Linked DNA regions of Diceros bicornis minor. The protein of the gene in region 2 purifies or fractionates together with the protein of the main gene of each other region. This does not show direct contact. Links are inferred from orthologs where the notes say so. Each region holds a gene or a part of one and is shown on either strand. Other genes may lie near its edges.

The links.
Region 1: the proteins of MED4 (region 2) and GIT1 purify together in Homo sapiens (affinity purification with mass spectrometry; 3 studies listed by BioGRID and IntAct, with this or other methods). This does not show direct contact. The link is inferred for Diceros bicornis minor from reciprocal best matches to the Homo sapiens genes MED4 and GIT1.
Region 3: the proteins of MED4 (region 2) and POLR2B purify together in Homo sapiens (affinity purification with mass spectrometry; 3 studies listed by BioGRID and IntAct, with this or other methods). This does not show direct contact. The link is inferred for Diceros bicornis minor from reciprocal best matches to the Homo sapiens genes MED4 and POLR2B.
Region 4: the proteins of MED4 (region 2) and ARHGEF7 purify together in Homo sapiens (affinity purification with mass spectrometry; 3 studies listed by BioGRID and IntAct, with this or other methods). This does not show direct contact. The link is inferred for Diceros bicornis minor from reciprocal best matches to the Homo sapiens genes MED4 and ARHGEF7.

Annotation. Positions count from the first base shown.
Region 1 is NC_080757.1:18,089,559-18,096,549, forward strand, and holds the start of GIT1 (ARF GTPase-activating protein GIT1), read left to right. Parts: upstream 1-3,976; 5' UTR 3,977-4,182; coding exon 4,183-4,234; intron 4,235-6,991. UniProt on the Homo sapiens protein: GTPase-activating protein for ADP ribosylation factor family members, including ARF1.
Region 2 is NC_080748.1:28,976,086-28,983,258, reverse strand, and holds the start of MED4 (mediator of RNA polymerase II transcription subunit 4), read right to left. Parts: upstream 3,001-7,173; 5' UTR 2,981-3,000; coding exon 2,856-2,980; intron 1-2,855. UniProt on the Homo sapiens protein: Component of the Mediator complex, a coactivator involved in the regulated transcription of nearly all RNA polymerase II-dependent genes.
Region 3 is NC_080747.1:44,466,680-44,474,390, forward strand, and holds the start of POLR2B (DNA-directed RNA polymerase II subunit RPB2), read left to right. Parts: upstream 1-4,705; 5' UTR 4,706-4,953; coding exon 4,954-4,972; intron 4,973-7,711. Other genes in the region: NOA1 (nitric oxide-associated protein 1), read right to left, coding at 519-721, 1,960-2,124, 3,054-4,176. UniProt on the Homo sapiens protein: Catalytic core component of RNA polymerase II (Pol II), a DNA-dependent RNA polymerase which synthesizes mRNA precursors and many functional non-coding RNAs using the four ribonucleoside triphosphates as substrates.
Region 4 is NC_080748.1:85,189,726-85,197,508, reverse strand, and holds the start of ARHGEF7 (rho guanine nucleotide exchange factor 7), read right to left. Parts: upstream 3,006-7,783; 5' UTR 2,964-3,005; coding exon 2,799-2,963; intron 1-2,798. UniProt on the Homo sapiens protein: Acts as a RAC1 guanine nucleotide exchange factor (GEF) and can induce membrane ruffling. Functions in cell migration, attachment and cell spreading. Promotes targeting of RAC1 to focal adhesions. May function as a positive regulator of apoptosis.

The DNA.
Region 1 (6,991 bases), on a different chromosome or scaffold from region 2:
GGCCCGGGGCCGCGGGGCGGGGGGCCGGGGCTGCCTGCTCGCAGGGCTGCGGCTCGGGCATGTGCGAGCGGCGCCGGCGGGCGGGGGCGGCGCGCCCGGCGCGGTGCGGGCGGCGCGGGCCGCGGGCGTCCTCGCGAGGCGGCGGCGGCGGGCGGCGCGGAGAGGCCCCCACCCGCCCGGAGAGGGAGCGGACACTCGGCGGCGCGGCGCGGCGCGGACTCGCGCCTCGCCTCTCACACCCCCACACACAAAGACGCCGCTCGGCGGAGGGAGCAGACGCCCGCAGCGGGCGCGGGGGCGCACGGGGCGCGGCCCCCGGGGACGCCGCCGCAGGGACGCGCGCCCGCAGCTCCCTGCTCCCCGCAGCTGCATAGCCCGGCCCTCAGCCCGAGCGGCCGGCGAGGGATGAGAGGATGCGGAGGAGAGGGGAGGGGGACGCGGGTGCCCCGGGCAGAGCTTGTTATAGCTCGGCCCCGCGGCATCATGGGGCTTGTAGTCCGCTTCTTGGAACTGGGGGCGGGGGTGGCCGGAGAGGGTCCCGCACTGTCCACCGGATCCCATGAGAGGGTTGGGAGGGAGTCAAGCCTGGCCAAAACAGAGGCAGTGTCCTGACGCCAGGTGGGCTGGGGCGCACCCCCACCCGCTGGCCTTTTGCCTTTTGCTGGGGAGGGAGGTGGCTACAGGCCTTGCTCAAGCTTTAGGGGACGCGGGAAGGTGTGGCCTTGGCCTTCAGATTGAGTTTGGGTCCCAGTGGAACGTGAGGAGGGATCTAGATTCCAAGAAAAGAGTAACTGATGGGGGGAGTCCTGAGAAAGGTACGGGGCATTAGTACCAAGGGTTATTTGAGCAACCGAGGGTCTGGCACCTGAAATATTACGTAGGAGTCTTCCCTGCCCTCTTATACAATTAAGCTCCATCTTCCACATTTGACATTGGAAAGAGATTGTCCACTAAGGCTGAGAGGACAGCCCCTCCCCACCCCGTACGCTGTCCTCTGCAAGCCAGAGAGGGGCTGGGCAGAAAAAGCAGCAGGTGGCAGCTCCCCGACTCCTCCCTATGTGGTCCTCTCAGGAGAGGAAGTGACTGATTCCAGAGACTGTCTCCTTCCTGGATAACCGCAGGGCAGAGAGGGTCTTCCCGAAGGGTCCCTGTAGACGCTGTGGTTAAAAGTGGAATTGGCTCTGGGGCCGCCTATTGCAAGGGCTGGAAGGACCTAGAGGCTTGGCCCAGTCCCTGGAGGGAAAAGGGACTGGGATGTTAGAGAGGCCTGAGTTCGCATTCCTCCTTACTAACTGCCTGACCTTAAGCAAATTGCTTAAATTTTCTGGTTCCTCAGACCACTCACCTCTAAAATGCAACTCTAAATACTACCTCCTGGGGTGAGCTAAGGATAGTAACTGCCCTGGAAACGGCGCATCCCTCCTGGAACCAGGCGGACTGAGACAGGTGGCGGGACCAGGCACAGTGCCTTCTTGAGCCCACCTTAGAATAAGACAGGAATAAGGGATTCCATACCAGCCCTACTTAGAACAATCCAAGAACTGTTTGTGTGGGAGGTGCTACCAAAAGCTTGCAAACTCTCCGCGCCTCCCTCAGGTTTCTTTGTATGGTCGTCTCTCCCTCCACCTCCATGCTCTGTGGTGCCAGGCCCGGGCGGGAAAGGATGAGGGAGGAGTGGACTGCCTCACCCCTTTCTCCAGGCTGGGAGGAGCCTACTGGCGTCTCGGGCCGCTGGGGACCGCCGCCCACCTCTACCACGAGGGGTCAGCAGAGTGTCGTGGGTGCAGCCGGAGTTGGGGAGAGGGCTGGAGCGGGGGAGGGACGGCTAGGAGTGGCCGGGAGAATGCCTGTACATTTCCTCATTAAATTGGTTTTAGAACCTTGTGTGTGATTTCTCTTTAAGTGTCCTTCTTCCTGAGGTGGCGACGTCTCCAAAGGGAAATCTTGAAACGCTTTTATCCCTAGCCCCAGGCCCAGAAGAAGCTCAGCTGTGGCGGGGCTGGGGATTTGGGGAACAAAGTTATGAGAGTGGATCCTTGTCTGGGCCACACCCAGGTGGTCCCTGGGCCAACCAGGAGAGCTGGCGGAGGTCCGGGATACCGGATGAATCATCGTTCTTCCCCTGAAAAGTCTTGGAGTTCAAGGAGGGGGGAAGCTCAGCCTGAATTGGGGGACAGGCTGCTGGGCTCTCTTTTTGCCAGGCGGCCCTAGACTCTAAACCAGGTCGCTTTTCCTCCGGCCTGCGCGCTCCAGCTGCCACGTGCTCGAGACGCGCCCACACAGCAGAGAAACAAAGACAGCCAAGCGATGGGACTGCCAGCAGCCGCCTCGACATTTAATAAATGAAATTCCATAGCGGGGGGTCGAGCGGGGGTGAACCGGCGGCCACCGCTTCTGGGCAGTACGCCCGGTAAGGGCGGCCAGGACGCTCCTCTCGTCGCTCGGGATGGGGCCAGCAAGCCCATGGACTGACTCCTCGGTGCGGGTGCAGCACGCGGCGGCAGGTGGTATTCCCCCCGCCCCCCTCCTCGAGAGGTATCTTTTCTTGCAGAAGCCCTGCCAGTTGAGCGGCTAGCTGTGGGGGGAGGGGAGGCCTGCAAGAAGACTTTTTTTTAAAGGGGCGATTATAAATATACCCCGTGGATCGCGATCTGAAACAAACTTGTCAATCTGGGCTGCAGTGAAAGGCGATGGAGGCAGCTTTGCATGTATTTCGGGTGGTGTGACTCATGAGCATTACTTGTCTCCTCCAGGGAAGCAGCCTGCCCACCCACAAGTCACTGCTGCTCTGGCACCGCTGGGATAAAATCGACCAACTCAGGAACCTCTGCCCAAGGACTCCCCTCCTCCCACTTTGTTACTGAACAGGACTCCCTGCTGCTTGGGAACCCTCCCTTAATCGTGTCACCACTGACCTGGCCCCCAGGCCTGGTCCTGGGCACCCCTGTCCTCTCCCCACAAGCAGAGTGCTCTAGCCTTTTGCTGCTGCAGGGATGGGGGCTGGGTGCACGCGGGGCACACGTGTATAGGGGAGCATGCTCAGTGCAGGGGTGCACCCACGTGCGGCCTGCGCCTCCGCTCCCTGTCCCCCCCACCTCTGCCGAGTCTCCGTGTGAAGTCCAGGAAGAAAGGCCACCACAAAAAAAGGTCCCTGTGTACTATGTGCACGCACCCTGGACACACACCTCTGGTGGCCCAGAAACAACGTGGGTGTGTTTAAGAAGAATGCCAAGTGGATATTACTGCACATAGGCACAGTGGTCATTCCTCGGGAGGGAGGCCTTTAAAAACTGCCCAGATCCTTTCCTCTCTGGATGGACGCATGAAGGAAGGATAGATGTATTTTTAGCCCGGAGGCAGGGGGATACACTGCATGACCTCTCTGGCATTTGGGCGTCCATATTGTTGGTAGTGTGCTTAATCAGCAAGGGTGTGACCGCACACACACCTGGACACTCAGATGTGGACACATGGGGCACGAGGACGCACATCTCACCCCAACCAAAGATAGGCGGGTAACCCAAACCATAGCCCCTTGCCGAGGAGGGGGGCCTGGGCCTCCAGCTCCTTGTTCTCTTCCCTGATTCCGAGGGGTCACTGACCCTGGGCCCGAGCCCCGTGGGCCACTCTCCATCTCGAAAGTGAAGGGGATGGGGCTGTGAGGGTGACTCACGCCGCCTCCAGGCCAGGGGAGCGCCGGAGCGGAGGCCAGGGCCGCAGGCGACGCTGCCCGCTCGGGCCTGGCGGCCGCGGCCGCGGCCCCTTTAAGCGCCCCCGCCCCTCCGCCCGCGCTCCCGGCTTCCTTTCTCCGGGAGGCGCGGCCGGCGGGGCCCGGCGGAGGGGCGGGTGTGCAGGCTGCCCCTCCCCCGGTGGGCAGGGCCTGCGCCGCTTCCTGCGGGAGCGGCCGCGAGCCGCGCAGGGGGCGGAGAGAGCGAGCGGCGAGCGGCGAGCGGCGGCGGGGCGGCGCGGGGCGGCGCGGGGCGGAGGGCGCCCGAGGGCGAGCGGGCAGGCGGGCACGGCGGGTCCCGGGCCAGTCCCGGGGGCGGACGGTTGGCCGGGCGCGCGGAGCCTCGCCGGGGCCGAGGCGGGCCGGGCAGCAGGGGCCGCCGCCGCCCGGGCCCGCCGCCCGCGCCCGCGCCCCCCACGCTGGCCCAGAGGGCTGCGGCCGCGTCGCCGCTGAGGATGTCCCGGAAGGGGCCGCGAGCGGAGGTGTGTGCGGACTGCAGCGCCCCGGGTAAGCGGGCCGGGCCGGGGGCGGGACCGCGCACCGAGGCCGCCGCCGGGCGGGCGCCGGGGCCTGGCGGGAGCGCCGTGCGGGGCCGGAGGGCGGGGCGGGCCTGGGGGCTGCGGCCTCCGGCCTCAGCCCCCGCCCGAGCCACTGCGGAGCCGCGTCCTTGGCGGGAGGGCCGGCCTGGGGGGGGCCCTTGTTTCCTCGCGTCCGTGGACGAGCGAAGAAGGACATTCCCGGCGCCGCCTCCCACCCTTCAGTCTGAGGAAGGCGGGCAGCTAGTTGCCCCCCCTCCTATCTCCGTATCCAAACGGAAGCGCCAGCCTGGGGGGGGCGGGAGGGCTGTGGCGGAGGCCGGCAGGGTTTAGGAGGTGGGGGCGAGTGTGGTTTTGTGTCATCTCAGTGCCGCCCCCGCGTCTTGCACCTGCTGCTCGCATGGTCTGCGCGCCCGCTGGGGTGGCGGAGGGCAAGGGGCAGAGAGCTGGGTGGATGGGCCAGGGGGGCCTGGCTACTGTTTCCTCGGGAGCAGATGAGAGGGTGGCTACTCCTAGGACTCCCTGCCCCTGGTTCCCAAGGCTGGGGCTCCTTGCAGGGCCTGGTGTTCAGGGCCAGTATGAGCCTGGGCATCTTCCCCTGAGGCATCCCCAGGCCGCCTGGTGTCTGGCAGCAACTAGACTCGGCTTTTTCTGTGCCCTAGTAAGGCCTGCTTGGGAAGGTGGGCTTGCATTGCCCCAGCCTGGGCACAGACCCCTCCCGGTCCCCTAGCCCAGTCTGGCCAGAAATGGGTAGGGAGCAGTGCTGAGGGGTGCCTAGATTCCCGGGATCCAGCTGGCTTCCTGGCCTGCCTCCTGGCTGTATTTACAGTGGTGTTTCCCTTCTCCTTCACAGCAGAGTCAGGTCCAGGCTGATGTGAAACTCCCCTGACCTGCTGAGGAAGTGAGGTGCAGTGACCTGAAAGGCTGCTCCCTTCTAATGTGGGGGGACACTGCCAGTGATGGGGCTCAGCAGCTGGCCTGGGGAAGGAAGCCCTGGCCCCTGTCCATCCTGTCTTTAGAAAAGGAGCCATCTCTGTGGGAGACATCTGGGCAGGCTCAGGGGGTCTCTGAATTCCAGGGGGACTGTGGGCACAATTAAGTGTGCGAGTGTGGGGTGCTGTTTTATGGGCCCATAACTTCCAGCTACCCTTTGCACAGGCCCAGGACCCCAACAGGTTAAGACCCACAGACACTCTGGTGGTTCTGATGGCTCCAAGCTAGAGTGTTTGGGCACTGTGGATGCCTGGCAGAGGCCTGGTCCTCTGTGGGTGGTTATGACCCCGAGGCCTCCTCTCAGGGCATGTCATGGTCTAAAGGGTTCTGAAGAAGCTATCTGGGGGATATGTGTTCTTACCCCTAATTAGCTGGAAACTATGATCCCCTTCTCCCAACCACAGGAAAGTCTGGGGTTGGCAGGGCTGAGAGGAGAGCTTGCCCTCTACATGTCTGTCCCAGGATGTTCTGCACCTCTGCTGGGTGGGCATAGCACTGAGCGGGCAAGAAGGGCTGGGAGGGGGGTGCTTAGCAGTCACCCTATCAGGGGAGCCTGGATTTTAGTGTTACCTGTGTTTCCAGCTCACTCTGTGACCCGTGGCAAGACTTGCCTCATTCTGGGCTTTAGTTTCCTCAACTGTGAGGCAAAGAAGTTGGAGTAGAAATGGTTTTGAGGACCATCCCATCTCCAAGTCTGTTGTCCTGATTCTGGGCCAGAGGGACATAGGGCAGCATCAGCAAGGGTATCTTTTCTCCATTGCATTTAACTGTTTGGCTGAAGCCTCTGGATGCCCACTGGGCTCCGGGAGGAGTGGTGTGTATCTGTGTTGAACTGCCCAGCTCCTATCCCCAGTCCTCATCCCACAGGCATCTGTGCCCTGGCTACCTCCTTTTCCCCTTGTCCAGAATACAGGTCAGGAAGAGGCAGGTGAGGTGGGCAGGGTGCTGACAAAGTCTTACTCATTACTCCCCCACCCCCCAGCACCTAGCATGGTATCTGGCACATAGCAGCCACTCCCCAAGCATTTGGATGCTTGTCAGGGCCCCAGCTGGCTACTTGGGGCTACCCCCCACCCCCACTCTATGATGCTTGGAGTGGCATTCTCAGTCTGGGAACTGCAGCAGCCCAGGTAAGAGGCTTGAGAGTAACAGCAGTCTGGAGCCCAGACCCAGAGCACCCACCCCACTAGCCTCCCTGCTGAGTGTCTGCCTCCCACCCAGAGTTGTAGGCTTCTCTCACTCTGACAGGAACCCTACATTCCCAGCCCTAGGAGTGAGGTCGTAGCCTTTTTGTGGTTGGTTAATTTGGGGGGTCATGGAGGTAAAATGTGAGATGCAGCCTGAGCCCAAAGGGCCCCGTCATCCCTCTGCTTCGAGGCCTGGGCACACAGGGGACAAGTGTGAGTATGTTATGAGGCAGCTGGACATGGCATGGCTCCCATGGCAGCCAGTGCTACCTCTCAGGCACCATCTGTGTCCCTGCCTGCCTTAGGAGTCCCAAGAGAGGAGCAGGGGTCAGGGAACCCTGGAGAATGTGTGTTCTCCCTTCCTTCTCCTCCACTCCCCTGCCACACAGTCCTGGCCCAGCTCTCATGCTATGGGCCTCCAACTCAACGCTTCTACTTTGGCAGCCCCAGGGACAGGAGTGAAGACCTCAAGATGCCCATCCTAAGGGCATCTTAGATGAGCAGGGCTGGACACCGGCTAGGGACATTTGGGAACCTGCAGGTTCATT
Region 2 (7,173 bases):
CTCAAGAAGGACGCATATAGGAAGGAAGGAATCAATAGATTTAGTGAGGAGGACTACAAATAATGAGAGATCAAAGTCATTTTGGCATTCTTGGAGAAAGGGTAACAGAAGAACTACAGTTTCTTTCAAAGGAAGCAAAAGAGAACTCAGCACCTCAACTGATCGTGTACAGCTGGAAAGCTGAAGCAGTTTCAGAAATCTTGAGGCTCTTGAGGAAAATTTAAATGATTCACCATTACTTTATGGGTAAATACATTTCATCAAACAGAAAATGCTATACTCGGTAATCAAGGAAAGAATCAAATATGGAGAAGGATAAACAGGGTCAATCTAGGTACAAGAGAATTTCAATTTAGTTTCAAATTTAACGTAACTCATAGATTACTTAATTATGCTATCTCAAGTGAAGAGTACATCAACAGCAAGTATATGGACTCCTACAGGTACCAACAGCATCAGGAAAACACACCTCAGACACAACCAGTAGCCAAACGATCCAGCGGCAAGATCTCAAGATGGACCACTGGGTTGTCCAATGTCAGAAGAAATTCTCCAAGACTGTTACCCTGGATGGGTAGACTCAGAAAAACAATTCCTGAACTTGAATATGAAATATATACAAGGGTTACTCAGCAAAACAGACAAACAAATCATGTTACAGCAAGTAGACCTCAGAAAAGAATAGAATTTACTGGGCTCCAGAGTAGACAAGTGAGAAATAATAATTCATTGAATATACTAAGGCAAAGATTTGGAATTTTAAGACTAAGACCTACTTAGAACAAAAGGCAGCACACACTACTTCCCAAAGGAGGTGTCACTTCTTCACAAAGTCCACATATTTACAGAAAAATTAATCACCAGCATCCACACCATATGGTTGGTCCAAATGAACAAATAATAAGGAACATTTTACTGGTTAGGTTGAATGCACTGAGTTTTTCAAATGAAAGTTGGTCCTATTTAGAATAGCAGTGAACTATTTACAAGAGGTTAATTTGGTGTTTAATAGCTAACAAAGAATAACAACTCAACCTGAACTAAACAAAGCTTCAATTAGCTGTCCCGAAGACAGTCGTGTCAACAGAGCAGAGATGTGAATAATTTAACTGCAAAATTCATACCACGAAAACTCTTGTCTTGCTAGCGTCTTTTTACTAAGAAATCATGCTGGTATTCACTAGATAGGATTAACTAAAGAGGATACTGACAAGTTGTCCACCACAAACTACAAAGCCAACAAAGACAAAGAAGGAAATGAAATAGCACCTGCATTAATCTGCGTAAACATTTACACAGCGGCAACACATTAAGACAGCTTGCCTGTGAGTTTCTTGTTCACTGTACTGCCTGCTGGCTGGCTGAAAATTCCACGTGCCCTATTTGTCGTCAGGCAGTATTTGAGTCTAATACTATCCAAACAGTGGATTAAACACATAAACTATTTAAGTTCTGGTGTCTGTGTGTTTTTAGGATTTAATTATGTCATTGAATATTGTGCTAACCTAGTAATCTGGTTAAGCAATGCTTGCTATAGCAAGGACTAAATTCACAGCCAAGATAAAATTTATCAGAAGGTCAGGTAATACCATATATAAGATTTATTCTAAAGCTGTCAAAGAATGTGGTACAGAATAGGTGACATTTGAGCCGGATACTGAAGGATGAATGATTCATCAAGTTGGAGGTGGAGTGAAATGGCATTGAAGACGAGGAAATATGGCTAGCTCTAGAATGGGGAGCATTCACCCAGGCTGGAGTGAAGGGTACAGGAGGCTGGAGGGGTGTGGCAGCAAATGAGGATAATAGGATGGATTAAGACAAGAGGGAGAATGGCCTCATTGTACACTAAGCTAAAGTTTGGACTTCATTTCATTGAGTAATGAGAATCTACCAAATATTTTAAAGCAGAAAAGTGACAAGAGATGCCTAGCTCTGCCCTTGGCAATATAGAAGGATAAAGTGCAGAAGGATTAAGGCAAGTAAAACTGTTGAGAGGCTGCATTAAGAAGTAGTCATGACCATGCAGATGGGAACGGGAGGCCAAATCTGAGCAACATTTTAGGAGAAAGAACCAAAACAATTTTAACATCCAACTGAAGGTGAGGGAGTTAAGGAAAGGCTGCAACTCCACAGACTACCATGAAAGATGACAGAATAAGGAGAATGACATCCAACTTCATCTCCTACCTCTATCACACACGCTGCACTCCAGCCATCCCAAAATTGCAATTCCACCACCAAGTCGTGCGTGCTCATGTTTCCAGGCCTTTGCCCATGCTGTTCCAGCCACCTGCAGCCTAGTGAGTCTGGTGAACTCGTTCTTTCCATATGGTCCTTCCTCCAGGAAGCCTGCCCTGACTACAACCGGGACAGGCGCCTAGTCCCGGGGCTCCAGGAGCCCGCAGTGCACGTCTTGATAAAAACAGTCTCCGCGCCACAGTCACTGTTTACACGTCAGTCTCTTCCCCTGACACTGGCTCCTCCACGTCGCCATCTACCCCTCACTACCGTCTCCCAGCGCTCGGAAGCCGGGGGTGTTCCTTAAATGTTTGCTGAGTGTCGTGGACGAAAAGACTCACACGGGGCTCTCCCTCTAAGGTCCGCTGCGGTTCTGACAGTCTTGGGGTTCCAGAGTCACTGTCATTATTAAAATGTCCTCTAAGGGGAACATGCCATCTCGGAGTCCCAGAGGGTTGCAGACACTCGTGCCCCGTCTTTGGAGTGAGCGCCACAGTCCCCCGAGCGCGGCCGTCCCCGCCGAGCCCCGGCAACCAGAGGCAACGCAGGGCCGGCGGTCCGGAGTCAGTCCGCCCGGCCCAGCCCCAGCCAGGCCCTCAGGCCGACGGCATTACCTCGACAAGACCTCCAGATCCTCCAGCGCAGACAGCAGCCGCTCTCGCGTGCTGTTACCGCCCGCCGCTCCCGAGCCGCCTGCCGGCCGCTCCTTCTCCTTCTCGCCGCTCGAAGACGCCGCCATTCTTCGCTCGGACCAGCAGCCGGCGCCTGCGCAGCTGCGCGCTGGCGACGACAGGCGGGCTGGGGAGGCGGAAGGAAGGGCCGCCGAGGCGGGGGAAGAGAGGCCCGGCCGGAGCGCCCCCTGCGCGCCCAGAGGTGCATTGCGCGCGCGGGCGCCATCTGCTGGGCCAGCGAGGGCTTTCTCGGGTCCCACCCTGGAGCGAGAGCCAAGCCCACAACGTGGAGACGCACCTGCGGTCAGGTTTTCCAGCGACTTCGCGTCTTCAAGCAGGTATGGGAGGCTTCTGCTCGACGGATTTTAAACATTCGAGGGAATTACATAATGGCCCACCTCTTGTGTCAGTTCTTCGTGAAATGGGCCGGGGTCTTCTCAGTATTAACCTCTCTTTAGTCTGCATTCCCGTTAACGCTATTCCCACCCTCCTGTTTGGCATCTCTTGAACGCAGTAAGCACCTTAGGACCAGAACCATGATCCAAATTTTTTTTTTTTTTTTGGGAGGAAGATCAGCCCTGAGCTAACATCCATGCTAATCCTCCTCTTTTTGCTGAGGAAGACCGGCTCTGAGCTAACATCTATTGCCAATCCTCCTCCTTTTTTTTTTCCCCCAAAGCCCCAGTAGATAGTTGTACGTCATAGTTGCACATCCTTCTAGTTGCTGCATGTGGGATGCGGCCTCAGTATGGCCGGAGAAGAGGTGCGTCAGTGCGCGCCCGGGATCTGAACCCCGGGCCGCCAGTAGTGGAGCGCGTGCGCTTAACCGCTAAGCCGTGGGGCCACCCCATCCATCTTTTTTTATCTTCAGTTTTTCTTTATTGTGGTAAAGTACACATAACATAAAAACGTACCTTGTTAACCATGCTTAAGTGTATAGTTCAGTGACATTAAGTACATTCATATTGTTGTGCTACCATCACTATCTCCGTAACTCTTTTCATCTTGCAAAATTGAAACTGTACCATTAAACAACTCCCCATTCCTGCCTCCCCCAGCCCCTGGTAACCACCATTCTGCTTTCTGTCTGTATGGTTTTGACTGCTCTAGGTACCTCATAAAAATGGAATCATACAGCACTTGTCTTTTTGTGACTGGCTTATTTCACTTAGCATAATGCCTTCAAGGCTCACCCATGTTTTACCATGTGTCAGAATTTCTTTCCTTTTTAAGGCTGAATAATATTCCTTTGTTTGTGTAGACCACATTTTGCTTATCCATTCATCTGTTGATGGGCACTTGGGTTGCTTCCTCATTTTCATAATCCATCTTTATAATCCCATAACTCCCAACAAAATGTGTTGCTCAATGCTCCACACGACTGTTGAATTGAAGGAATCAATTTACTATGTAAGTGGTAGTTAATTAAATTGTTGTAGCACATATTCCAAATCAGAACTGGATGTCAAAGCCAAAAATGTACCTTAGCCCACTTTTCCTGAGGAGAACAATGTAGTAGGGGACTTGCAGTCTACAGGAAAACCCAAAGTTACAACAGTATTGGAAATGGCGAGTTCTATGTTGGTCCAAGTTGGGCTGTAAAAAATGAGTTGAAGAGTTGTCGCCTACAGACAACAGCTGGGAAGGAGGCAGGCGTACTTGTGATCCCCTTATTCCAGCATCCTGTCCTCTGGTCTGTCCTTCTGCTGGGCACGTAGAGTTGAAGATTCCCTCGGGGACTCATGCTAAATAAATTCATTCATAGCAACTGCTGTATATAATCCAGAATGCTGATTTATTCACTTACAATGAAAAGTAGTAGTGCGAAGCACAATTTTACTCATAGACAAACCTACACAAGAAGCCAAATTGTCACCAGAATGTCATTTGGTAAACTTGGATCAGAACAAATGAAGATAGACAAAAAATCAATTAATACAATCATCAGGATTTGCATCTCCATAGTGTAGGGACATTTGTGTTAAAGAGATTGGAATATTTGTGTTCATAGGTCAGGGTGCCTTCTCCTCTAGACAGTGCAAAGGCACCAGACACCTTTTATTTTCCAACCACCCCCCACTTCTGCTCCTGGCCAACCCCTTCTATTAATACAGTCAATTCTCAGGCAGTGGAATAAATTAGATGTATGTTTTCTCAATTACAGTTGCATTCTAAGCATGCATCCCAGTAGCTCTAGTCTGTAATCTCTTATGTTAAGTTTCCAAGGGACTAAACTCTTACACTCTCTGTGGGTTTTGTTTACTCAACTCTCACAGGTTCATCTTGGGCCATAATTCTCGGGGGGGAAGGGAGAAGTTCAGTAACACTAACTATATTAGTGTAGCTTCCACGTAAATATTCTGGGAGGATTCTAATCAATTTAAAATGACCAATTATCAGTCCTACTTTACAGACATTGAGAGTCAATGGATGGACAGTGTATGTGTGCTGTGAACTCCAGACCTCCTCAGATTTATTGCAAATTCTTATGCATGTTGAACATTGTCTATAGACTGATAAGTAATAGCATTACCCACAGATATACTCTTTCACAAATTGTGCAGATCCAGGTGTGATAAACAAAATATGAGTTATTTTATAATATATATATTAAAATTGAATATGAATATTTTATATATCTTATAGTTATTATAATAATTGAATTCATGGTAACTTTGCGTGTAAAGTATTTTCTCAATCTACAGACTCAAAAAGGGTAAGTGCTACTTTCCTATGAAATTTTATGTATTTAACCTGCCAGGTACTGTTCTTTAAAAAAATGAAAACTCCTTTAATTCTCATAAGAGTCCCAGAGGCATATACCGTTATTATCGCTATGTTACAGATAATGAAGTTAGGAGGCAGAGAAATTCAGAGACTTGCCCAAGGTCATACAGCTGGTGAGAGGCAAAGCTGAGATCTGAACCCAGAGTCTGACTCCAAGGTCTGTGCTCTTAGCTGCTGGTTGTCTTGCCTCCCTTTTTAAAGAAAGAGGTGCCTTCATGTACTGAAAAAGGGTTACTTAGGGCTAGTCTAAAATACAAGCTCTGTCGAACGCACAGTTTGAAACTCTGAGTAAAAAGCAGCTGCAAACCTTTCGTGTGGCGGTGTGAGCATGCAGCGAGAAACCCAGCCAGGCCGGTCCCTAAGAGTCAGCAGAATAGGTGGCCGTATACACTATGTGTGGTTTTTTTATTATTATTTTTTATTTTTATCAAGCAATGTTTAAAAGTCAAATAGTGCTCAAAAGCTAACAAAAACAAAAAAAGTTCTCAGTCACTACCTCCCCAACCCCCACATCCTGTCACATTCCTCTCTCCCTAGCGGCAACCACTCTCAACATTTTTAACTGTTTCTTCTATGCGTTGCTTCCATATTTTTAAATAATATGCATATATTCTATGTCTCTATTAAACCCTTTGAGAAATTTATTGCTTTCCTATTATAATGGAGAATTTTCTCTCTCTTACATGTAGCTAGAATCCAATTTTTTTTAAATCTATCATCAGTGCTTACATTACTACACTATTATTTACACGTAACTATGTAATTATTATTTGTTTGAGATGCCTTACAGATATCTCTGTAGAGATTTTTAAAAATTGGAATAGAGCAGAAAATTTCTAAAGCATCAAATTACATTGCACTGCTTTGTGGAAACATTTTTCAGTTACATATTTATGTATGTGTGTACTGGGTCAAAGATTAAATATGTTTTTTACTGTGGATCGAAAAAGTTTGCAAGCGTTGGAAAGTAAGGAGTAGAAAAACATGTTCTACCTGAAGTGCCCTGAAGGGAGAGTCTGTATACCTTTTGCATTCAGGGGGCAGAAAATTAAAGCAAACGTGTGCAAATAAAGTGGTGTGTTGCGATAATTATCTGGGATGCGTTGCACAGATAGAGGGTGTTATAGGCTAAATTGTACACCCTCAAAATTCATATGTTGAGGACCTAACCCCCAATACCTCAGAGTGTGACTCTACTTGGAGGTAGGGCCTTAAAAGAGATGAGTAAGTTAAAACGAAGCCATTAGGGTGGGCCCTAATCCAATCTGACTGATATTCTTATAAGAAGAGGAAATTTGAACACACTGAGAGATGAGGGATGCATGTGCACAGAGAAGAGACCATGTGAGGACACAGCAAGAAGGTGGCCATCTGTAAGCCAAGGAGACAAGCCTCAGGGGAAACCAAACTAACACTTTGATCTTGAACTCCAGAACTGTGAGAAAATAAATGTCTGTTGTTTAAGCCATCCACT
Region 3 (7,711 bases), on a different chromosome or scaffold from region 2:
TTTCAAAGTCTGGCAAGGGATGTAGGCATTACATTTGTTCCATACAGCTCTGAGAAACAATGGGTACAAGTTACAGGGAGACTGCTCAACACAAAGAGCAGGTCAAAGACCAAATGGGTTACCTTAGGAGGTAAGGTGACTCTGCTCAGCTGATGGTGAGTCACTCCTTACTCAGTTCAAGCTGGATGCCTTCTTGATGGATACGTTATAGAGGGAATTCAAGTATGGAATAGGTGGCTGGACTACAGTGATATTTATGATTTCTTCCAACCTCAAAATCTAGGATTCTGTAAATGTCTCCCTAACTAAGATAACAACCACAATGATATAAATGGGTTGTTAGCAGTGAAGCCTACCAAATGGAACACAGAACTTGATGCCATATAGATTCATCCCTGAACTGCTTCTATGAATGAATGAGAACTGAGTCTAAAATGTGTTCCTTTCCTGTGTTCTGCCAATTAAGACAGTACTTGTGCAGTTGAAAGTAAGTGTTTCTTAAGATATCAAATACATACACAATTTTCTTTTGTAATTCCAGGGGTGTCATGAAACCAGTGGGCATCTTTCACATCTTCTGGGGTCAACTGTACTCGTTTGGTGGATTTATCTGCCACAACAGGTTCATTTCCCATGTCAAAGGCAAGTGAATCAGCATCAAACTCAAAGGGAGCTTCATCCTTCCGTTCTTCTGAATACAAGAATGTTCTTCCAACTCTTCCTAGAACAAGTTAGATTGAAGTTATTAGTCATTCTTTTAAAGCTTTTGATTCCAGACAGGTAATTCTTATGTTTGCCTCAAACAAATTACTAAGACTAACTGTAGTGTATGGAAGTGAGACTACAATGATACCTTTGCTTTTTTCCCCAAAGGCAGGGGGCCAGAATCTTGCAATGATCAAGTGAGTGGCTGGTTGTGTACACTGGGTGGGGGGAGAGGGTGTTGGAAATCAAACTGTTTTCAGTAAAGGAAGGTTGAAAAGAGATACCAAGGAATGGGTGACAATCTACAGTCATGTGCTGCATAATGTCATCTTGCTCAACGATGCCCCCTTTTTTTGTATTTTCTTGTGAGCCTAAGTATCACATATTTATCATTTCCTTTTCATTTTTCTTAAGCAAGTTCACAAACGTTTTTTATCCATTTTTTTAACTTCTCTAGTCTTTATCTTTTTTAATCAGATTTCAAATCCTTAAATCTTACTAGAATTTTGTACTTCTTGGCTTCCTTTTCTATCTTCTCTAGTCTATTTAGGAACTCTTCATCTCTAGAAGCCAGAGGACTCATAACTTTTTCTCATTTTTTGCTGAGTATTTGGGGGAAATAACGAAACTGAAGACCAGAATTTAGAAAGGGGTTCTTCCAGCTCTTTACCTGCTCCTGGAATGGGTGACAATCTACAGTCATGTGCTGCATAACGTCGGCATAATGTCTTCTTGCTCAACGATGCACCACATACATGACGGTGGTCTCACAAGATTAGCACTATATAGTGTAGGTGTGTAGTAGACTATATCATCTAGGTTTGTGTAAGTACACTCTGTGATGTTCGGACAATGACAAAATGGCCTGATGACACATTTCCCAGAACATCTCTCTGTGGTTAAGTGACGCATGACTGTAATTTAAAGCTGCTGCACGGAGTCAACGACCTGCACTGGTCTGCAGAGAGGGGGGCTGTATCTTTTTTCTTCTACTGCTGACAATGGCTGGGTGGGTGGTTATTGCATGTTTCCTTTCCTGGATTTCTTCAAGATCTACTGTCTCAATTTTCTCAGCACAATGAACTCTGGATTCCCAAACAGTAGTCTTGCCTCTAAAGGGCCTCTATGTTCCAGAATGAGGAAAGCAGTCACTCCCCACAAAAACTGGCTAGCCCCAGACAGCTATATTTCAGGTTGCTCAACAAAGAATTTTAGCAACAACTCAACAAGAGTTTTCCTATAGAACATGCTTACCTACTACATAGCCATGCTTTTTCAAGAGATTAAGTTGATTTTGTTCTTGCTGACTAAGATCTTCTTCAGCTTCAGCTGCATCTTTTTTAAGCCTTTTTTGCCTTTTAAACATTCTGTAAGGAGTTGGATTGCAAATAGGAAACTTCAGAAGGTTTAATGTAGTACCTGAAATACCAAAGAATAAATATGTTTTCTAAACACTGTACAAGAAAAAGGAATAAGAGGAGGAAAACTAACATCTTTGAGGAGCTACAATGTCTTGGGGACTGTGATTTATTTCACTTAACCTTCATAACACTCTACAAAATTATTCTTATTTACAGATGAGAAAATTGGCTCAGAGATTGGCTCAAAGTCTCAACCAGGATTTGAATCCTTAGATTAAATCCCAGGATTTAAATCTGCAGGCCTGATTTCTTTCCATTTTCACATCCTACCATCCAGTATAAAAGCACTTCTGTGTATAATTCAACCAAAGTCCAGGACAGAGAAGAACAGCTTATCAAAGTTAAACCCTGGTTTCAAAAGAACTAATGAGGCAGTTTTGCCAACTGTTAAATACAAAGAGGGTCACAGAAGAACCCATTTTGCAATCACAGAAGTTTCATAAAGCCACAAAGTTGACATTTCTTTCCAACAAAGCTACACATCACATTGCATTAGTGAATTATTCAAATGTTAAACGTGCATAGTATACTGATCTCATGAATCAACTCAAGACATGAAGAGTAAGATTGAGGGGTGAGGGAGGTTTAGAAAGTAAAAGGACTTTCCAGAGAAACATACAAAGAAGTAAAGCTACAAGAGAAACCTCCAAGAGAGCAGGAACTTTGTTCCTCTGTTCATCTACAGTGCCTAGAACAGTGACTGGAACATACAAGTGCTCCATAAATACTTCTTTTAGAAAATTACTGAATTTCCAAGCACTAAGCTGACACAGAAGAGAGGTGTGACCAAAGTAGGAAGACAGTTTTTAAAGGGAAGGCTCCAGACAGCCTCTGGTGGACAATAAGGAAGGCTATACTAGGTGCCTGGGCCACGACCAGACTTCTAGCTTCTCAGACAACGAAGGGGGTGGGTCTCCTAAGGCTCACCAGGCCAAGGGGAGATGGTGGCTCTGTCGATAGCCTCAGCGCCCTTGGCGATGCAGTAATCGGACTCCAGGAGCGTGTTGAAGAGAGTAGACTTGCCAGCGTTGGTGGCGCCAACCAGGTAGACGTCACCACGGTAGCGCCAGGAGCGCTGAAGCGCGGAGATCAACTCTTCAATTCCATAGCCAGTCTTGGCGCTGATGAGCCGCACATCCCTGAGCACCGTGCGGCACCTGGCCGAAGGGTTCGAATTCTCCTCGTCTTGTGGCCCTCGGTGGCCAGGGAGCGGCAGGAGCCCTGCGCGGGCACAGTCGTCCCACAGCCGCTGCCGGAGCCGCTGCCGGTAGCCGGGAGCGTCCTGGGGCAGCAGGTCTACCTTGTTCCCCAGAACGATCAGCTGCTTGGGGCCCACCAGCGCAGGCAGGTCGGGCAGCAGGGCGTCGGGCAGATCGAGCACGTCCACCATGTAGAGCACCAGCGCGGGCCCGGGCCGCCGCAGCGCGGCGCTCACCAGCGCCAGGTACTGCTCGCAGCTCACCTGCAGGCGCAGGGCGCGCCGGTGGTGCACCAGCAGCCAGCAGCGCTGGCACACGGTCCGCGCCAGCCCGCCGTCGGCCTGCGCCGCCGCGCTCAGGAACTTCTCGCTGGGCAGGTAGCCGGGCACGCCGGGGTCCTGGCAGTGCAGCTCCGCCCCGCAGCCCGAGCAGTTCAGGCCGCTGGGCGGCACCGTCGGGTCCGGGTGCCCCACGACCGGGTGCCCCCGGCGGCTGGCCCGTAGTTTCTGCTGCCGCCGCTCCTCCCGCCGCTGCTGCTTCTGTCGCTCTTCCTCCTCCTGCCGCTCCTGCAGCTCCTGCAGCTGCTTTTCGGGGGTCGGTGCGGGCTCCGGCTCCGGGACGTACTCGGGGAACAGAAAACGCTCCTCCATGTCAGCCCTTCCTTCGTAACCCCCAGTCCCTGTCGGGTCACGAGGAAGCCCACGTCCCAGGCCCGATGGGTGCCGGCAGGAGAAGGGAGCCGCGCATCTCCTCTCGAGGAGCGGCTCCGGGAGGCCATGGCGCGCTACCTTCGGTGCGGATCCCCGCAGGAAGCCGCACAGAAGCCTACCAGTGAGGCGTGCGGGCAGCATGGGGAACACGGCCCAGAGCAAAGGGGCGGAGCCACGTGCGCGCACGCGCACTGGGGCCAGAGGCGCGCGTTAAGACCTACAGGCAAGGCCGCGGCTACCGGAGAGCTGTCATTTGTCAGCCGCCGCACTTCGTCTCCTCCTCCAGCGCCTAATCCCGTGAGTTATCGCGATGAAGGCTCTGAGGCTTCAGAACCCACTTAAAGCTGCGGCAAAGGTACCGACGGCCTAGACTTAGCTGAGGGGGCAAAAAAGGCTAGTGAGTGAGGGTTTGTTCCCTTTTAGGCTTCTTCAACGCGCCGCCGCTGGCGCAACCTGCCCTTAATAAATCGCATTTTTAAAGGCTTCGTGGTTTTTGAAGCCTTTAGAAATGCAAAAAATAGAGCATCGAATGCCGCAAACTCAAGGCTACAATTAAAATTAATAAATCTTCTTGGCCTTTTTTTTAGGTGTCATTTGTGCAACAACATTAAAAAAAACTTTCATTGGCTGGATCGCACCCTCACTCTGTAGGAGTCATCGTCGCAATCAGCCGCAAGAGGCGCCGCCCACAATTTGCGCGTGCGCAATTGTAACCCTTAGCGGCCCTTAGCCTACCATTTGCGCAGGCGCAGATGTTACCTAGCTTCTCTGTGGGCGGTCTTTGGCCTCGGACGCGGAGTATTCTGGGAACGCCGGAGACGGAAGTCACTTCGTTTAGGGCTCCGAGACGGAGTGGTAGCTACGTGCTTTTCTCTCTGTGATTTTTAAGAGTTAGCAGCTCGGGAACCGTTTGCCAACATGTATGACGCGGACGAGGGTAGGTGACCACTCAGAACGCTCCGCGGCGACCCTTCTGTGGAGGGAAATGTGGGGAGCTGGACGAATTGAGGATTTGCGGCCTCCCCCCCCAGCCCGCCGCACGAGTGACCCCAAGTCGTGTTCCCCACATCCCCCAGGCCGGGAGTGAAGCCGCGATGGGGAGAGGTGGAGGGTGCAGGGAATGTAGCATTACTGTTCCCGGTCAGGGTGACGCTTGCTCTCTGCACTGTCAGCTGGATAGATCTGATACCGCCTTCACGTATTGAGATAACGTGCAGAACCATAAAACAGTACCATTGTTTTGGCTTTGTCTGAAGCAAAGGGCTCCCTTCTTGATTTCTTATGAGGCTAGGGTTAGTGGATTTATTGAATATTTGAATTTTTGAGCGTCAGTTTGTGCCAGGCATTGTGCTGGGCTCTGGAAATATACCGGGGACAAAGAATATCGTGTGTGTCGAGAGAGTGTTGGTCTAGTTTGGCATTCCTTCATGCCGTCGTATGTCTAAGTGAATTGTCTTAGAAGATGACCTTTAGATTTTCTCAGATGGTATGTATTCAACTGAAGAGGACCAATATATCTGTTTTTCCTTTCAGGTATAGAAGTCTTAGTCATGTCTAGTGTATTTTCGTTAGGTATTTTTAAACCTCCCTCTTCCATTCTCTACAGCTACTGTATCAAACCTCATTTTCTTCTAGTTCCCAATCCTGTGGCCACCCCTCACATTGCTGCTTATTCCCTTAGCTTCTTCATGGAGAATACAGAAGCAAAAGCTTAAGATCTACAGTTTAAACTTCTCTTTTTCATTTATATCTTGAGTCTAGAAATTTATTAGCATCATTACATTCCCTTTTCTTAACTTCTATCTCAGAAAAAAATTCAAAATTTTTTTAGCAGAGTTTTTTGTGTAGATAGTATATATTCTCATGGCTCACAAGCTGGAAAGTATAAAAATGTTAAAGTGTAAGGTTTCATTCTTGTCCACTGTCTGTCTAGTGTGAGCCCCCTTCACTGTAGGTAACCACTGTTCTTAGATTCTTATCTCTCCAGAGTGCTTTATGTATATTCAAAGAAATATAAATGGAATTCTATTTTCCCCCTTTTTACAGACAAAAAGTAACATTCACACTTTTCTGCACTTTTACTTTTTGCTTTTTTAATATATGTATCTAGGAGATTTTAATATCAGTTCATAGAGCACATCCTAGTTTTTTTTCTTCACAGCCTGCCTAGTTTGTATGGATGTACTATGACGTAGTAATGTCTTACTGATGGATATTTGGGTTATTTCTAGTCTTTTTCTGGTTCAAACAGTGCTGTAATGAATAACCTTGTGCATGTCATTTTGTCCAGTACAAGTATGTCTTTAGGATAAATATGTAGAATTCTACATGTAGCTGTAGAATTGTCAGGTCACATGATATACATGTTTAACATTTTGCTGGATGGTGCCAAGTGACCACCATAGTGATTGTACTAATTTATATTTTCCTTAGCAATATAATAGTCTTGTGGAAAAAGAGTTAAAGTTATCCCATTTGTCAAGTCTGCTCCAGCATTGAGTACATTCCGTTCCTGCCTGTATCCTTTGATATCTTTATTAAATATGTCCTCATCAGTTTTCAGACGTTCCTTTTCACCTGACTTCTTTCTATGCAAAATGTTAGATCTCTCTTGTCCTCAAGAAAACAGGTTAAACTCTCTATTGTTTCCTTTTTCTTCCATTGTTTTGCCTTTCTCCTTTCATTCACAACCAAGCTTTTAAAAAAGAATAGGCTGTCTTCGTTGTTTCCAATTCCTATCTTTCAGGTTCTCAACCTATTACAATCTGATTCTGCTCATGTGATATAAAACAGCTCTTAAGAATATTAGTGATTTCTCAATTGATAAATCACATGGACATTTTTTAAACCTTATACAAACCCTGTGGTATTCAACATTGTTGATGACTTCCTCCTGGAAACTCTCCTTCCTTCTGCCACGTCACTCTCACTTAATTCTTTTTACCTGTCTGACTTTCCTTCTCATTCTCTTCTACTGTTCATGTTATCCCTGGGATAATTTCATCCATTCTTCATGGCTTCAGTTACCATCTGTATGTGGATGACTTCTGAATATATATTGCCAGTTCAGATGTCTTGCGTATCTAACTGCCACTAGATAACTTCGCTTGAATCTCTCCTAGGCCTCTCAAACTTGTCGCTGCCCAAACTGAGCTCACTATTTTCCTTTACCCATCACCCTTCCAAAGCTGCTTCCTCCTGTGTTCTCCCTCTCAGTGAATGGTATCACCCTCTTCCATTGTTGAAGCCAGAAGCCTGGGCATCATTCTTGAATCCTCTCTTTCGCCCCTACGTCTAATGAGTCACCAAGCCCTGAGGCTTCTGTCTCCTAAATATGTCAAATCTGGTCACTTCTCTGCCACAATTCTAGTTCAGGCCACCACCATCTCTTGCCTAGATTACTTCCTCAGACTTGTAACTGGTTTGTGTACTTCCACTTTTCTTGCCTCTCCAGTCCACTCTCCACACTGGCCATAGTGATCTTTCGGAAATGAAAATCTGATCTAGCCACACCCTTGCGAAAATCTTAGAATGGTTACTCAAAGCTCTGTTGGTAAAGACCAAACTCTTTTACCACTCTAACTTTACACTCCTTGTCTCAGCTACATTGGCCTTCTTTCGTTCCCTGAATATCTTTCATGGTGGAGTCTTTCGCACAAGTTGTTTTTTCTGTTGA
Region 4 (7,783 bases), about 56 Mb from region 2:
TTCGTGTGTTCCACTTCAGCGGCCAGGGGGTCGCGCTGGTTCGGATCCTGGGTGCGGACCTACTCCCCGCTCATCAAGCCATGTTGAGGCAGCGTCCCATACAGAAGAGCTACAACTCTACAACTATGATACACAACTATGTACTGGGGCTTTGGGGAGAAAAAAGAAAAAGAGGAAGATTGGCAACAGATGTTAGCGCAGGGCCAACCTTCCCCAAAAAGAAAAAAAAAAGACAGTGCCTCACTGGCCAGTAAAAAAAAAAAAAAGTGTCTCTCTTCCAAACTGCTCACACAGAGTTCATAATCCCCTCTTGTCCCTGCCTCACCTTCCGCCTACAGAAAGGCAGACCGCACAAAGGAGGTCCTGGGCAGAAAACCTCTTTAAAATGAGAACAATCTGAACGGAAATGAATGTCCTCTCAGCTCTCCACCCTCTACTGGCTCTAAAACAGAACAAATGAACACAACGCAAGAAACATATTAGGAATGTTTTCTTAATAAAAGGCATCTGGGAACCTGAGCCACCACTAACCTTTTCCTAATTCTGCACTATCCCTAGTGTAATGGTTCATCTTAAACTGTGAATTTGCAAATGTGAAGTTGCAGCTGTGTTTGCCAGTCGTCATGTGTTCATGTAGCAAACTGGGGTAAAGTCAAGATCCTCAATTCCAGATGAATATTCAGTTAAGTTTCCAAATGTTCCTTTTTAAGGAAAAACATCCTCAGACGAACATTCCCACATGCGAGTTACAGCTGTTCAGCCTGCATGCTTTGTCACATATATTATTTGTGTGCGTTCAAATATCATAAAGCTCAAATAAATAACTGTTCTCAGGAAATGGAAAAGCTCACAAAACTTCTGAAACCCAGGGTTTTAGAGGCAGAGATTGGCTAATATTTTACTCCAAAAATCTACCTTTGAACCACAGAGAATAAGTAGCTCTGTCTATAATTTGCTACTTTGCTGTTAAACTTGCACTGTGATTGTGTCCGTCTAAAGCAGACCAGCGGGGCCTGGGGGGACTAACGAGACGGTCACAATGTAAAAATCTCCAACTGACCAGCTTTCAGAATATGCTGGGTTGTTTCAATTTGGCTTCCTCAAGCTAAACATTTTATTCATTCCTCTCTATGTTGTTTTAGAGATGAAAGGAATGCTACAGTTTTCTAAGAAAATCTTTCTAGAATGCAAAAGAAAATGATTTTTGAAGTCTGCCAATCAATATGAATGCAGTTAATATACCAAGTAACGTATGCACTGAGAGCAACATGTTTTTATCCAGACGGCACATGAAGTTTCTTAAAGCTTCCCTCTTGGAAATGGACGAGTATTTTATATAAGCCTATTTTGGTAAACTTAGCATGCATTTTCAACGCTTTTCAGCATCTGTCTTTTATTATCAGAGGATACCTGATATCCAGATGACAACAAAGTATTTTGAGTACCTTGAAAGTCAGATCCTGCTCCTTATTCCTGTCCTAAATCATAATTTTATTGTGACATCAGGTTCATTTACACCAACAATTTTATTTCCTGGACAGGCAGGCAGCTATTCACTCTAAAATGCAGATTCTATTCTCATAAATATGTTTCACGTAAGGAAAATACTTAAAACTAGTATGCATGTAAAATTCATATTAAATAGAATCTTTTCTGACCTTTAAAATGTAGCTCCAGAACATGCACAAACTTATGAATAAGATTAAACATTTTACTTTTTCAAGTCACCTAATTAGCATTATTAGCAAATTGTTATTGTGCGTAGGGGTCAAGACAACTCCATTTAAAAAATGAAATAGTTTTTCCTAATTAGTGTACTTCAATTTCTCCATTTAACACCTTGTAAGTAATTGTTGATCTTAAGATTATGTATTGGCAAAAAAAAAAAATGGGACAAGATTGCAGTGTTTTTGACATACAGGCATACACCGTTTTTAAAAGCGTTCCGTCCCCTGCACTGCTTCGTCAGCCGTGGAGAGGAACGCAAACTTTAGTCACTCACGGAGATGCGGGTCAAGGTTCACACTCCAGCCCCGGAAACTGCCCGTCATGAAGAAGAGGAGCAGAGTCTGTAGGACTAGGGGTTCCGCTCAAATTCAGGTATGAACCTGAAAATGAAATCTAGGATTTTAAGCCAGCCTTGAAGAATGCCAGGGCTTTCCAACCCCGTGTCTGCCATCCTCTGGCGCGCAGACGGGAAGAATTCTTTCGTGGAGAGGGCGGAAAATCGTTTCACAACCCAGCCCTCAGCTATCGATGAATGCAGCTTTAAAAAATGCATAGCAATTGGTCAATTAAACAGAGGGTGAAACTCTCATACAATACCAGCAACAAAAGCTGTTCAAACAAAGCCCTCGGACGAGCTGTGCGCAGTGCTGGAGCACGGTTTTCTGCTGGGGTCACCGAGAGGGACGACTCCACCTTCGGGCGGGGCAGAGCAGAGCGCTCCCCTTCCCTCCGGACCTCCCGGGGGGCGCTCCTCTTGAACGCGGCCCCGGCCCCCTCCCCAGCCGGCACCGCACACAATGGCGCCCCGAGCTCCCGCCACCGGGTTCTCGCGCCGCTGGCGCGCCCCCCGCGCGGCCCGCGCTCCCGGGTCCGCGCACAAAGGAGGCGCGTGGGCTCCTCGGCGCCCCGCGCTCCCCGGCCCGCGCAGCCACCAGGTGCGAGCGCCAGCAACCCCGCGCCCGCGCGTCTCCGCGCGCCCCGGGCCTCCCCCCGCCAGGGCTCCCGCTGCCCTGGGCCTGTCCGCCGTGCGGGCCTGTCCGCCGTGGGGGCTCGGGGCGGGGGGCACTCACTTTCTCGATGGTCCCGGGCAGCAGGCGCTCCAGCAGCCTGCAGAGGACCACCCCATCCTTCAGAGACGCCTGCAGGAAGCCCTCCGGGTCCGAGATGGTTTTCTTGGGCGACTCCAGCACCCCCAAGGTAATGAGCCACGTAACGGTCTGCTCGGCGGAATTCATAGCGGCGGCGCGCCCGGCCTCCCCGCGCCGCGAGCCGGTCTCGGCGCCGTTCACCTCGGAGCGGCCGCGGCCAGGCCCGCTGCGCCCCCCGCCCCCTCCTCCTGCTCGCCCATGGAGAGGCCGGCGACGGCGATTGGCTCGGGCGGCGCCGCGGTCCGGCCGGCTCGCGCTCCCTCGCGTGCGTCCTGGCCGACTGTCAAGTGCCTTTTCATTACATGCACATGAACCTGCGGCGGCCGCCCGGCGCCGCCCCCGCCGCCGCCTCCCGGCTCCCAGCCGCTGCCGCCGATGACATCACTGCCAGGAGAAGAAAAGACGCCGCGCTGAGCGGCCCCGCGCCGGGCCCCCCGGCCGCCAGCACCCCCGCGCTCGGGCGGCCGCCGTGCGCCCCCGCCGTGCGCCCTCCACACCCGGGCCCCGCGCCATGCGCCCCCGCCGTGCGCGCGCCCCCACCTGCGAGGCCGGCTGTGGGCCCCCGCCCCAAGGGCCCGGTGACCTCCAGAAGGCGACAGCCCGCGGGCCGGGGAGGGCTGGCCGGGCCTCCCAACCCGCGGGGCGCGTGCGCTCTTAACCGTTTGCGCCCCGCGGAGCCCACGCGCAGCCCCCTCCGGAGGCGAGAGCCCGGCCAGGCTCCTTTCGCTGTCCTCTCCCTTCCGCTGTCCTCTCCCCTCTCGGAGGACTCGGAACCCTTTATTTATAGTCTCAATTCATGAATGTTTAAATTATTAAATGCTTCCCAGAATGCTCTTTTTATTTTTGCCAGTTTCATTTCAAGAGGTTGGGGGGTTGCTGAAAACGAGATGTTTGCTTCTCTCCCCCTACCTTGCAAGCCAATAATTACAGAACACAAATGATAATTAAATCTGTAACCAGATGGGTCTAATTCAGGGAAGAATTGATTTTCTGGGCGCTGCTGCGATCCTTGGGGATATGGAGGCCCCAGAGCGCGGTGCGGCCGGTGTCATGCGTGCCCCCTGCTGGGAGGCCTGTGACCTCAGCGGCAGGGACGCGGCTGGCCCCTCTCCAGGACCAGAAACCTTGGAGCGACTCTGTTTTAAGTTGCTGGTGACGTTTCTAACACTATGGGAGGAAGGTCAAGAAAAGAGCAGAGGCTGACCTGGGTCTGTGCAGATGATAGGGAAACAAGGACTGAGAACAGCTCAGTCCAAACAGGCCGTTTGGCCAGATCCCACTTGGACAAGAGATGCTCTGTTGCAGACAAGGCTTTGAAGGCACTCGGGCCAAACCTGAAGAACTCAGCCCTCCAACTGTCACTTAAGGAACTTGCTTCTTCAAACAACGAATGACATTGACACATGTAAAGGCTAACGAAGGAGAAGAGCCTCTTCTTGAAAGAAGCAGGTGTGAAGGTGTCCATGTATTTCCATTTACTCCATCCACAGTCCAGGAGTGCCTTCCCCACTTGCTTGCTAGGACTGCCCATGGCAGCTTCAGACGGTATTAACGGTCACCTACAGAGAGCTTACTGTGTGCCAGACACATATAGCAACCCAGTTAGTGACAAAGGCTAGAAAGACTTTTAAAAACAGAGGCTTAACTCTCCTCTTCCTCTGCCTTCTTCCGGAGTACTTCCATTGCAATCGTTATTGCATTTATTTCCAGCTTGGAGTTAGCGTTAAATTTTCTTTCCAAATGCAAACACAAAGTAATTCAAAGAGCAGTATGAATTCTGGATTTTGAGGGCCCCCTACTCGGTGGTCACAGCCGCCACTTCCTGAGCTCCCTGTGTCTCTGCCCAGTGCTCCCCCGCCACCCCCCCCCCACATTATGTCACACCATCGTTACTACAGCCTTGTGGAGTTTCTCTCATTGTCCCCATTTTACTGGTCACACATCCAACGAGTGGTGGAGATGGCCTCAAACCTGGGCTCTGAGCCTCCAGGACCCACACACCGCACATGTTTTCTAGACCACTTCCCTACACGACTTTTAGGAAACGGCAATTAACAGCTCCATCAAATTTTGTGCCGAAAGACTCTATCAGTGGAAGGGTGTTGACCTGAGTAGTTCTCCACTCTTGAGAGATGCCTGTTTACTCTTAGTACTGCTCATTTGGAGACGTAATTTAGAGTACAGTCATTTCAGATTCCATTACGTTAGATCTGGTGCTTGTAATCTGGTAAACAAGGGTAAGATTCAACTTGACTCAATCAAATGGTGGTACAGAAAGGCAACTCTGGGGCGTGGCCTTAGGTCACCAGTGAACCTGGCGCCAATTACTGTCAGAAGGGAGACCCACGGGCCACCTGCCAGAACTGGTCTCAGAAGTCCCTGGGCGTTTAAATGCTTCAGAGCTATTAGTGGCATTCTTTTACCTCGGATGTAGATTAATTTCAGAAAAGTTTATTTGTAAGGGATTCTAGAAAGTAACGTTGTTCAAAACTAGGTGTTTTTTGGTGTTTAACTGAGCTGTTTTAGCATCCAAGGTGGGCATTTGGTTACACTTAACATTTTTCCAAGTTCCTATTACAGAGGACGTGTGCTACAGAGGAGAACTCGTTGTTCTGTTGGTTGGAGCCAGTTAGGATTGTTGTTGGCGGAAGACTTGGGCCCTGCCTGTGGATGCCCTTTGACCCACCTCTGAAGAGCATGTGCCCTTCAGTTCCCTGACATCTCACGAGAGGACCTCAGCTTCACGCCCAGCTCGGCTGCCTGGTAATGCCTGAGAGCCACCTCCCAGTCGTCATTGCGGTGCACCCACAAACGGCCACAAACCAGTAGTCACCCAAAGCTCAGCCGAACTGTGCTGACTCTATTTGTCAGCTTATTGGTGCTTGGGGATGGTGTTACAAAAACGTTGAAATCTACCCCAACCTGAAGCCAGGCAGGCAGATGGCTATTTACCTAGCAGTGCGTAGCAATCTCTCCCTGTAGAATTGCTTTTATTGACTGGACTATGATCTAGATTGAAAAATGCTGTAAGAAGCAGTTCTATGAAGCTCATTGTATCTACTGTGTGTTATCAAAGACACTCATTTTATCAGGGTCCTATTTATTTGGCATAAATATGGTCAACTGCTAAAAATTAAAGATGCAGGGCAGGAAAAAAATAGTTAATAAACATGTATGGCTGAAAAATTACTCAAGATCGGAAGACACTTTACCAATATAGTATATTATGAAACATAATGTCACTGAGACACTTACCCTAGTTTAGGTTCCCCCAGAAGCAGATCCTGAGCCAACAACTTGGGTGCAAGTAGTTTATTCTGGAAGCCATCCCGGGAAGGATAAACGAAGAAAGGGAGAAAGTGAACGGGGAGGAGGGAAAAAAGTGAATCAAAGATGTGTAAGTGCGCCCCATTCCCCCAGAGACCAGGGGGAGAAGGGGCTCTGTTCCCCCAGGGAGCCTGGAGAAGCAAAGAGGAACAGGTCTCAGTGTCTTCTAACCGGAGGACCAACAGGCTAAGAGTTATCCCCTGACTCCCGTCTCCTGTGGTTGAGGGTCTCCTCCAGGGGCAATGACCTCTAATTCAGCAGAGCCTAAAGTCGAGAGAGCAGGAGATCCCCCACGTGGACCCCTGGGAGAGATGGTAAGGGGGCCAATGCTCTTTCTCCCCGTTGCTGCCTGGATGCTGCCTTGTAGCTACCAGGGGAACGACACCATATAACAGCCACTGGTTCAACGTATATGCTGTCTTGAAGGACAGTCCCTAACCCTGCGGGAAGTCACCCCCTCCCTGGCCTCTGCATGTATCCATCCAGTGAGAGGAATCGCCTCTCCCTCCAGGACTGCAGGACTTGGGTGTGATCGACTTGCCGCCAAGTGGCTGGTGTTACCACATCAGCGGGCAGAATCATTCTCTGCTGTGGGTAGCGAAGTCGGTAGCTGTAGCTCCTGCTCCCCTCCATCTCTTGGACACCTCCATCCCTGCCATCAGGACTGTGCTGTCCATGGCCTGTTGTGCAGGGCACTGGAGTGGCAGGCAAAGCCTAGGCTGGCTGCCCTCGGCTACAGACACCATCTCTGCGCCTGGTTGCTGAGCGCCTCTGCCTCAGTGATGCTCTCTGGGGATGGACATGGGGCTCAAGACCCACAGGCCTGTGTCTGCGCCCACAGGTCCCTCCACAGACCCCTCCCCACCTCCTTGCCACCACTCGTCCCACCTTGCCCCTTCCGGGCACCCAGACGAGGAGCCAGCCACCCACCCTGTCCAAGCGTCTGAGCGCAAAGGAGATGACCATGAAAGGCTCAAAGCTCTGCCAGCAGTCCTCACCGCGGTCCTTTATCCCGCCCCAGAGTTGGGCTGTCATGTGGCAGCAGTCCGTTTTCGGTTCATACTAAATTATCAACCAGACCCATTCGTAAAGCAGGCCCGTTCTCTCTCTACCAGCTGGTCATAGTAAACGTTCCGCGATGTCGCAGGTGTGAGCTGAGGAATGTTGGGAGTCCAGCCAGCGGGGGCAGGGGACTTGGAGGACTGGGTCATTTGTGTCAGTAGCTTACTGTGCCTCGGGACCTGCTCATGCCACGTCCCAAATGCACCTATCCCTGTGGGCTGGATGGCTGCTATGCTAGCTCCACCTGGTCACTTGGCGCCCCTCCCGGCCACTGCCTGTCAGAACGTCCTCTTAGTGACGTTGATGCCCCTCGTCGGGGCATTCTAGCTGCTTTAGAGAAAGGAGTGTCTCCAGGTCTCCAGCTGGTGTCCATTCCAACCCTCCCACCTCCCTTCCTCCCCACTCTGCCCAGGCTGCCCAGCCTGAGGAGCTATCCCTGCACAGACTAAGGGCCGGCTCTGCGCACCAAGATGTTAATCCTGAGATGGGAGCACCATCACATCCCAGACCCTCCCATC